Arabidopsis thaliana: one gene and its partner. The protein of the gene in region 2 interacts with the protein of the main gene of each other region in a pairwise test. Each region holds a gene or a part of one and is shown on either strand. Other genes may lie near its edges.

Region 1 (5,370 bases), 3.3 Mb from region 2:
AATGCCACCTTCTGGAGAAATCGAAACTAGGTTTTTGCGATGAAGAAGAAGATACTCGGAGTGGTGATGATGATGATGATGATGATGGCAGATAACGGCAAGACATATAATATATAGTAGACCTACAAATCCTCGTCGGATTCAGGATTTGAAATCTGATAATACCCATTTTGATTTCAGCTGAGAAACCCTCTCTCCCTCTTTTCTCCGATCAGTTTCCCAAATTGACTTCTCATTCATTGCGCGGTAAGATAGACGGCGCTCATTTTTTTACCGTTTACTTAGTTACCTTTTCACCGACGATTGTAAAATTATACTCAGTCAATGATAGCTTCATTAAAGGCCCCCCATACTGTTCTTTCATATTGGGCCAAATCAAATGTTGGGAGTATAACAAAAAATATTTTTTTTAAAACGGTAATGGTTAATTAACAACACTGATTGATTTGGTCTCTCTTATAAACCAGAAATAACCGATTCTAGAATCGAAAACCCGAACACTGAGTGAGGTAGATATTGGCCGGAATTAGAGTTGTCTACCGGCGGCATCAGCGACAAATGGAATGTATGGAGTTTTGCCGAGTAAGGAGCTGACGACTCCATACACAAAACACATAAAGCTGAAGACGAAAACCCCCGTGTGCCCCCACATCATCGCCTTCATTCCAAACCCGCCTCCTTGACCCGGATCCAGTATTCGGGTCAGCAGCACCGGAACCGCCAGGAGCACATCCAGCGTCACCGCCTGCATCGCGTTGAACCTCACGTACCTACTGAAACTCGTGTTCCTCACCACTCCCAGGTACAGCCCGAAGAATGCCACGAAGCTCGCGTACGGCACCGATCTGTACAGGTTCAGGATTGGGAAGATTGGCTCGAACAGCAATCCCAGCCTTGGGTACTGCGCGAACAGGAACCGCCCGTACTGCAGAGAATTGAAGAACGGCAGCGCGTACGACGCTATCGAAATCACGCGCTCAGTCGCCGGCGTCGGGGTGTAGGAGGCGCGGGTCGTCAAGGCGGTTGCGCGTCTGCTAGAGGGGCGGATCGAGAAGGTTGAGGATCCGGGGAAGGAGAGGCTGAGTGGTCTGCATCTGGGAGCCGACAGGGGATTAGTTAGGGTTTGGTGGAGAGAAAGGCACAGAGACGCCATTCTTTTATTTTTTTGTTTGGGATTTTCGCTGTTTAGTCGGCAGTGTCGATTTGTTGACAAGAAGAGCAAAAAAAAGTAACAGCTCAAACGCTGCCGTTTTCGAATCTAAAATTTGGCCCGCGCACACTAACAACATAATTGGGCCGACTTAGCTATATAAATGGGCCTATATATGGTACTAGAGGGCTTCGTGAACAACAGAAGGTTTTTGTGGCGCCGACAAATGGGAAGCGGAAACGAAGAAATGTGATGGCATTGATTGAAGGCGAGTCGAGTCGAGTCAGACTCGGTCAGAGCGAGTTGAGAGAGCAGTTAAGAAACAGTAGCAGGTAGAAATGACGGATGTGTCCCCACTTTCGGACCAGACCACTTTACTCCCCGAGTTAGCAAGTGAAGTGAGAAAACTGTCTGTGTGTCACATGTTGGCCACTCGCGCGCTATCCCCGCCCAAGGACCTTACCGTCATTTTGGTTGGAAACTAGTAAAAATTAGTTTATTTATTTTTTGTTTGTTGTTTTGTCAAGTAGTATATTTCTTGGAAATATCTTCCCTTTTCTGGGATGCTTTTACTTGGCGACCCAAGGACCAAGAGAGAACCAAAAATAAATCTCACAAAACAAATTAATACAAACTACTACTATATACTATTATTATTTAAAAAAGAATATGAGAAAAAGAAATTGAAAGCTAAAAAAAGAAACAGTAGTGCAGAGGGCAGACCGTACGGTATTCCTGAAGAGCGAAAGAAGAGAGAGAGAGAGAGAGAGACCGACCAAAGAAGAAGCTCCTCTCAATCACTGTCGAAGCATCTCTTCTTCTTCTTCTTCTTTTTTTCTTCTCTCTCAGAGCTTTTCTAATCGGCTTCTCCGGTAAATCTCTGTCGATCCACCGATGAGCTTTTGACATTTACTCTCTTATTAGTTTCTTCTAGTTTGGTGAGAGGAGTTTTTACTAGTATCTTTTTTACTGTACACCAAATCCCTAAATTTAAGGACATGTATGCTCGCAATCCTCCCCTCAATGGCTCACAATCTGCTCAAGCTCCCGACTGGACCCCTGCAGATGCCGATACCGGACTCCAAGGTCTCGCATGCGCTTTGATTCTCAGCAACTGTACGGTCTCTTTAGGGTTTCCGCTAAATGGCCCTGACTGTGCTCAATTTTGTGATTTGCAGAATCGATGTGGCGATTAGGGTTGGGTAGCGACTCGTACCCTGAGAGACCAGGTGCTCCTGACTGTGCCTACTACATGCGAACTGGTGTCTGTGGCTACGGTAATAGATGTCGTTACAATCACCCTCGCGATCGTGCCTCGGTAATTTCTTCCTCTCATTCATTCTTCTTTCTTATTATTGTTCTGAAACCATCCATACTAGGAGGACACAATCAAATGCTTCTCTCTGTTTTTTCCGCAATGTGGGTGATCACTGGCCTTATAGAGTCTCTCTAAACTGGGGAAATTGTTAAGCTTTACTGGTTTCAGTTGTTGTGCTTTACGTCACGTTTTTTTTTGTCTTATGCATTGACTCTACCCGGTGTTTCCCTGTATTTACTGATACCTTTGTATGCTCTTGTAAAAGCTTATCATTTTGTCATCTTAGCTTGGCCACAGTTTACTATTTTCTCATGTTGATTCATGTATAGGTTGAAGCAACTGTTAGAGCTACCGGGCAGTATCCTGAACGTTTTGGTGAACCCCCATGCCAGGTAACCCACCCCGACCAGTCATTTTATATGTTCCAAGTGATGAAACAAGGTTTTTTGTGATATTATTGATCTCTGCTTTCCTGGCAGTTTTACTTGAAAACTGGAACTTGTAAATTTGGGGCGTCATGCAAATTCCACCATCCAAAGAATGCAGGTGGATCCATGAGCCACGTTCCACTAAATATATATGGATACCCTGTACGAGAGGTAAGCTTTGTTTCCACTCATGTCAAATAAAAGGCTAGTCTCGAGTTTGCATGATCTTTTATAAACTCTTTGTAGGGTGATAACGAATGCTCCTACTATTTGAAAACGGGGCAATGCAAATTTGGTATAACCTGTAAATTTCATCATCCTCAGCCTGCTGGTACTACTGTCCCACCACCACCAGCATCTGCACCTCAGTTTTATCCATCGGTGCAGTCACTTATGCCTGACCAGTATGGAGGTCCATCTTCTAGCTTGAGAGTTGCAAGAACTCTTCTTCCTGGTTCTTATATGCAAGGCGCCTATGGTCCAATGCTATTAACCCCCGGGGTCGTTCCTATTCCAGGCTGGAGTCCTTACTCGGTGACCTTTTTTTTTATTGATGTATCATCAATACATTTGTTATTCACCACAGTCTCTTACTGTCTCACTTTTGCTTTTGCTTCAGGCACCTGTGAGCCCTGCTCTATCTCCTGGTGCGCAGCACGCTGTTGGGGCAACTTCTTTATATGGAGTTACACAGCTCACTTCCACCACTCCTTCGCTTCCCGGGGTTTATCCATCTCTGTCCTCTCCTACAGGTGTTATACAGAAAGAACAGGCCTTTCCAGAGAGACCTGGTGAACCAGAGTGCCAATACTATTTGAAAACAGGAGATTGTAAGTTTGGAACATCTTGTAAGTTTCATCATCCTCGAGATCGGGTTCCACCAAGAGCGAATTGCGTCCTCAGCCCCATTGGTCTTCCTCTACGCCCGGTATGCTCTGTGTTAATATGTCATAAAGGTTGTTGATCATAGTTATAACATTTCTGTCTCTAAATCCGTTGTTTATCTTGGGTTGAAAACAGGGTGTGCAACGGTGCACTTTCTACGTACAAAACGGCTTCTGTAAGTTTGGATCAACATGTAAGTTTGATCATCCAATGGGAACGATCAGATACAATCCTTCTGCGTCCTCTCTAGCTGATGCACCGGTGGCTCCTTACCCAGTGAGCTCTCTCTTGGGTGCTCTGGCAGCTGCCCCTTCTTCTTCATCGACAGAGCTCATAGCAGGCGGTGCAAAAGATGCTTACATGACCGGTGTGCCTACATCAAGAAGCACATCAAACATCTCGGCAGGTTTGATTTTCTCCCAGAGCGGTGGGTCAATTCCATTCTCAGAGCTGCAACTCTCGAGCCAGAGCTCTCTTCCTCTAACAGGTAGCAGAATCACAAGACAAGGGCGTGAAATTCGTCGATCCTTTTGAATAGATCACCTCAGAAAAGGGTACGCATACGCAGGTCCTCTGGATCACCTTTTAGCAATTCTTAATCTATATGACTATTATTATATAGAAGCATGTGATGTGAATTTATATATATAATCTTCGTACCTTGAGAAGAAGAAAAAGCCTATTTGAGTAGAAGACCTGAGTGAGAATCACATATATCTGAGAGGAAATCTATATGTGCATATACCAAAAAAGATAACAAGAAAAGGCTTCTTCTTTTTTTTTTTGGAATTTGTGTATAATGTTTGTATAGAGACAGACAAGGTTTCTTTGTCTTGTCCGTACTTCTACTTCAGACCCATTCCGGCTGAGACACAAAAACAAAAAAAAAAAAACTGAGACAAAGAACTCAATTCTCCTCTTCTTTTAGTCTGCCAATTGGTGTACTTCTCGTGTGTTAAGGTTTGTTCTTATTGTAGATGAATGATGTGTGTTGTTAATTTTGTTATGTTACTGCTTCACACATTACATGTGTTATGGTGATGAAACAACCTACATTTCAAGACTAGTTTTGAAGGTTGGCACCATTATCTTGAATATATTTATTTCCTTAAAAAAAATGGTTTTGAAATGAAGTTGAGCGGAAGCACACTAATCCTAGAATCGATCAATAGCATCGGGAAAGTGGTACAAAAAAAGAGACGAGAGAAATGATGGCCTAGAAACAAGTTTTAAAACAATATGGAGAAGGAAGTAATCTTTAGAGAAAACCCTACCTGAGAAAAGAAACTATCATGCTCAATTTAATATGCTTCGCCATCATTTGCTCTTATTTGCCTTCCCCACTTGTCTCTCTCTCTCTACACTCTTACTTTTCTTTTTGTCAAAAGCCCAAGGAAGAAGATGAAATCAACTAAACTTGGACATCCGGCTTTGGATTTGGATTTTGTAGAGTGGGAAATTGTAGTTTGTTGTGAAATCTAACAACAAAATATTTACCAAAATATAGATTTGCTTAAGTGAGATATGTAGTATTTTAATGAATTGCGTATTAATAGGTTAGGAGTAGTAAACTTTTTGTTTTTCTTGTT
Region 2 (3,603 bases):
TGAATATGATTTTGAGTGTAAATCCAAATATTTTTCATAATATACTCTTCCAAAGATGAGATTTTTTGTTCAAAATACTTAACGGAATGCATGATATTAGTAGAATGTATCTGTCCAGTTTTATGTCCAGTTTCATGTTTAACAAACAAAAAACTAGTCTCACTCTTTTTTACTTTTGGTTCAGTTTTAAAGTTTTACCGATAAATTGCAAGTGAATTAATCTCAATCAAAGAGATGTTCTTTAAAGCCAGTAGGACAACTAGAGATGTTGAAGTGTTTGTGCATTCTTCTACAAATTTTACAACCCACTTAAGCCCATTTATAAGAGTAGAATCATTTTCGTAAAATGGGGTCTTTTGTTCTCTATGTTAACACAAAAGCGGAATGTTTTGTTGTAGTAATAAAAATAGATGAATTTTTGTTTCATGCTCACGGTTTCTTAATTCTCTATACAACAAGACAGAGAGTCAGAGACTACTAAAACTTAGTTTTTATTGTCTTCTATAGTAACTGAAGCAAGAAGGCTTAACCTATATAGTTTGCAATTAGACTTGTGTGTGCCTCGCAAGCAACTTAACCATTCTACATTTGATCACAATTTCTTCATTTGACCAATTTATCTGTACTCTCCAATTCACTGTCCTCTAGGATCACAAAACCAATTCTTCAAATCCATAACACAGAACAAATACTTTGGTCAAGCAAATATGACGAGGAATCACACAAATACATAACTCTTACTTTAAAAACTCGAAACATTTCATACATTCAACAAAAGGGTTCTTTTTTCTCATTCAGTATCCAACAAGTAAGCATAGAGAATTCATCATCATCATCATCATCAATGCCAACACTTGCATAAAGTAACAACAAGAAGAAGGAAAAAAAACACAAACTTTAAAAGCAAGAGGAAGTGATCTGATTCGATAACTCTCAGCAACACAGCATCAATCTCTAGATGTTGACCTGATCAAAAGCTTCAAGAGCATCACCAGTAAGTCTACAAACTCTCCACTCCTGCAGAATCTGAGCACCCATCTGCTCATAAAACTTGATAGCATTAACATTCCAATCAAGAACAACCCATTCCACTCTTCCATAACCCATCTTCACCGCTTGTTTGGCCACAGCAGTCAACAACATGCTACCAAACCCTTTCCTCCTATAAGGCTCTCTCACAAATATATCCTCAATGTAAAAACCAGGCTTGGACAAAAAGCTAGAGTAATTCGGGAAAAACAGAACAAACCCAGCTACAACGACGTCGTTCAACATATCCGGCGAGAAATTGTAACTCTCCGGATCATCAATCGGGAGATCAAGGTTATGTGTTTTGAAAAACGGTGTGAAATCGGGAGATGGTGATGAAGTGATGGTTGCTGGAAATGGAGAACGAGAGACTTCTAAGAGGAAGACTGTGAATGATTGGAAAGGACGAGAGGTGAAGAGTGTTGAAGCGAGACCTGATTCGGTGGCGGAGAAGAGATGCGTGAGACGTTCGAAGACTGCCATTTGGTGAATTAGTTTGTGGATGAATGGGACATCGGACGGTGTTGCCAGACGGATCCGGGAGAACATTGGGTGGCCGATTGGTGAAATTAGTGGTGCTACCATGTTTGGTTCCGGTGCTGCTGTTGGTGGCGGTGGCGGTGCGGCGGCTGCCATTTTTTTTTGGTACTGTGATTGTGAAAATTAGGGTTTATATTTGGGGGGGGGGGGAGTGATAGTGAGAACGATGGAGAGGTTCTAGAGAAGCTTGGGCGGTGGTTTTTCTTGTGCTATGTGTATTTTTTTTAATTAGGAAAGTAATAAAATAAGTATGGATTTTGAATGAGCCCAGCCCAAAGTTTTTATGGATTTTGTATGAGAGTTACTGAACCCAGCCCAAACCCAGTGTTTTTACTTTTAGTAACCCCCTTACATACGTAACCAAAAGCTAAACCAAGTTATTGTTTTTATGGATTTTTATTGTTTCTTCTTACCACTACAAAAGTCAATACAATATTTAACAAGTTCAATTCATATATAGTAAGTATTAATATAGACAAAATTTCAAAATATAAGTCTAAAAAATTATGTACTTATTCATTTTTAAAGACACATTGTTCAATAAAATAAAATAGGTAGAATAATATATGATACCAATAAACCCACACGATGTGTGTGAGTTGATTTCTAATAATATTCTAATTACCAACTTTATTTTCTCTAAGATATTATTTTGAACCTAAACTACACATGCTCAAAAATATGAGCTAGATCTTGCATATTTGGAAGATCGGCTAAGCTACCACATCTTACAACAATCGCATGATATTAAATGTGAAATAGATTTCTTTTATTGGTTTTATTAACATTTATATATACATTTTTATTGCTAAATATGTCAATTTACTAGTGTAAACAATGTTGCATTTATTGCCGATTATCTACCTATTCTCAAGAATCATGCTAGACTCTACCCTCTCTCTTAGTATCCATACAAGATGTGTCAGACTGATGCTAAATCTGGTAATTCTATGTTTCACACCTGTGGATATTGGTTGGGTTTCTACTTCTGATTGTTGGTGTCATGTTCATTATGCGGTTGAAAAAATATAGAAAATAGAGGAAGGTGCCATATAAGTTGTGAGATGTTAAGATCTCACTAGATGGCAATACCAAAGAAATAGAGGAAAGTAAGAGGAACAAGATAGTAAAGAAATCTGAGGGGAACCAGATAAAAGAGAAAAGTGAGAGGATTTGGTTTTTCTCCTATACATAGCTAAACATGTGTCGTGAATCATTTATTTTTATTTCAACATTTTATCCATGGCGTTATCATTTCAACATTTTTTATTTGTTTGTTTGAGACGATTACAAATGTTTGTGCCCTTTATTTTTCAGTGATTGATAGGATGCACCGTTGATGGAAAAGACCCAAAGGATCTTTAGCATGAAATTTTAAGATTGTGATCGACATTGACATTCCTGAGAATTTAGGAACAATAGTAGTTTATGGTTTTGGAGTTTGTGTTTTTTTCTATGAAATTTAAGTTATAATGATGATTGATCAAAGATAGAATCATCAATAAGTAGATATATAAATATCATATGCATCAAATAACACATACATTGCTTGTACGTTACAAATTGTTACACACAAACCTCCCCCACAAAGCCACAAATAAGACACAGTAAATGTCACTCACCGACCATCTTAAATAATATTCGTTTTTTCTTTTATATGATTTGGGTCCCTTTTTTTTTTCCTTCCTCCCTTCCTGGCCCAAAGAATTCTTCACCTCTTCGCTAGTTCGAAATAACAAATTTAAGCATGGAGCTCATGAAGCTGGCTCCTGACTGACCCATAGGCCTTCATTGCACCAGCTCTCAACACAAACTGATGGTAAAATGCTGCAATGGCTGCACCCACAAATGGACCGACCCAGAAGATCCACTGTAGTTATTAAAACAAAACTCATTAATATGTTAATTTAAAACCCAAGAACGAATATCAGATGGTGAAAATACAAACCTGATCATCCCAAGCCTTTTGATTGTTGTAGATGACGGCAGCTCCAAAACTCCTAGCCGGGTTTATTCCGGTGCCAGTAATTGGAA

Evidence for each region.
Region 1: the proteins of AT2G39020 (region 2) and AT2G47850 interact in a two-hybrid assay, tested with the Arabidopsis thaliana proteins (one large-scale study listed by BioGRID).

What each region holds. Positions count from the first base shown.
Region 1 is NC_003071.7:19,593,805-19,599,174, forward strand, and holds AT2G47850 (Zinc finger C-x8-C-x5-C-x3-H type family protein), read left to right. Parts: upstream 1-1,724; 5' UTR 1,725-2,148; coding exon 2,149-2,236; intron 2,237-2,328; coding exon 2,329-2,468; exon of another isoform or gene 2,469-2,797; coding exon 2,798-2,860; intron 2,861-2,947; coding exon 2,948-3,067; intron 3,068-3,142; coding exon 3,143-3,430; intron 3,431-3,515; coding exon 3,516-3,824; intron 3,825-3,916; coding exon 3,917-4,315; 3' UTR 4,316-4,860; downstream 4,861-5,370. Other genes in the region: AT2G47830 (Cation efflux family protein), read right to left, coding at 1-169; Tic20-II (putative conserved protein ycf60), read right to left, coding at 527-1,153; AT2G47844 (uncharacterized protein), read left to right, coding at 1,489-1,635.
Region 2 is NC_003071.7:16,293,454-16,297,056, reverse strand, and holds AT2G39020 (Acyl-CoA N-acyltransferases (NAT) superfamily protein), read right to left. Parts: upstream 1,918-3,603; 5' UTR 1,666-1,917; coding exon 955-1,665; 3' UTR 562-954; downstream 1-561. Other genes in the region: PIP2E (plasma membrane intrinsic protein 2E), read right to left, coding at 3,311-3,439, 3,518-3,603. UniProt on the Arabidopsis thaliana protein: Probable protein acetyltransferase with dual specificity triggering both N-alpha-acetylation (NTA) and epsilon-lysine acetylation (KA).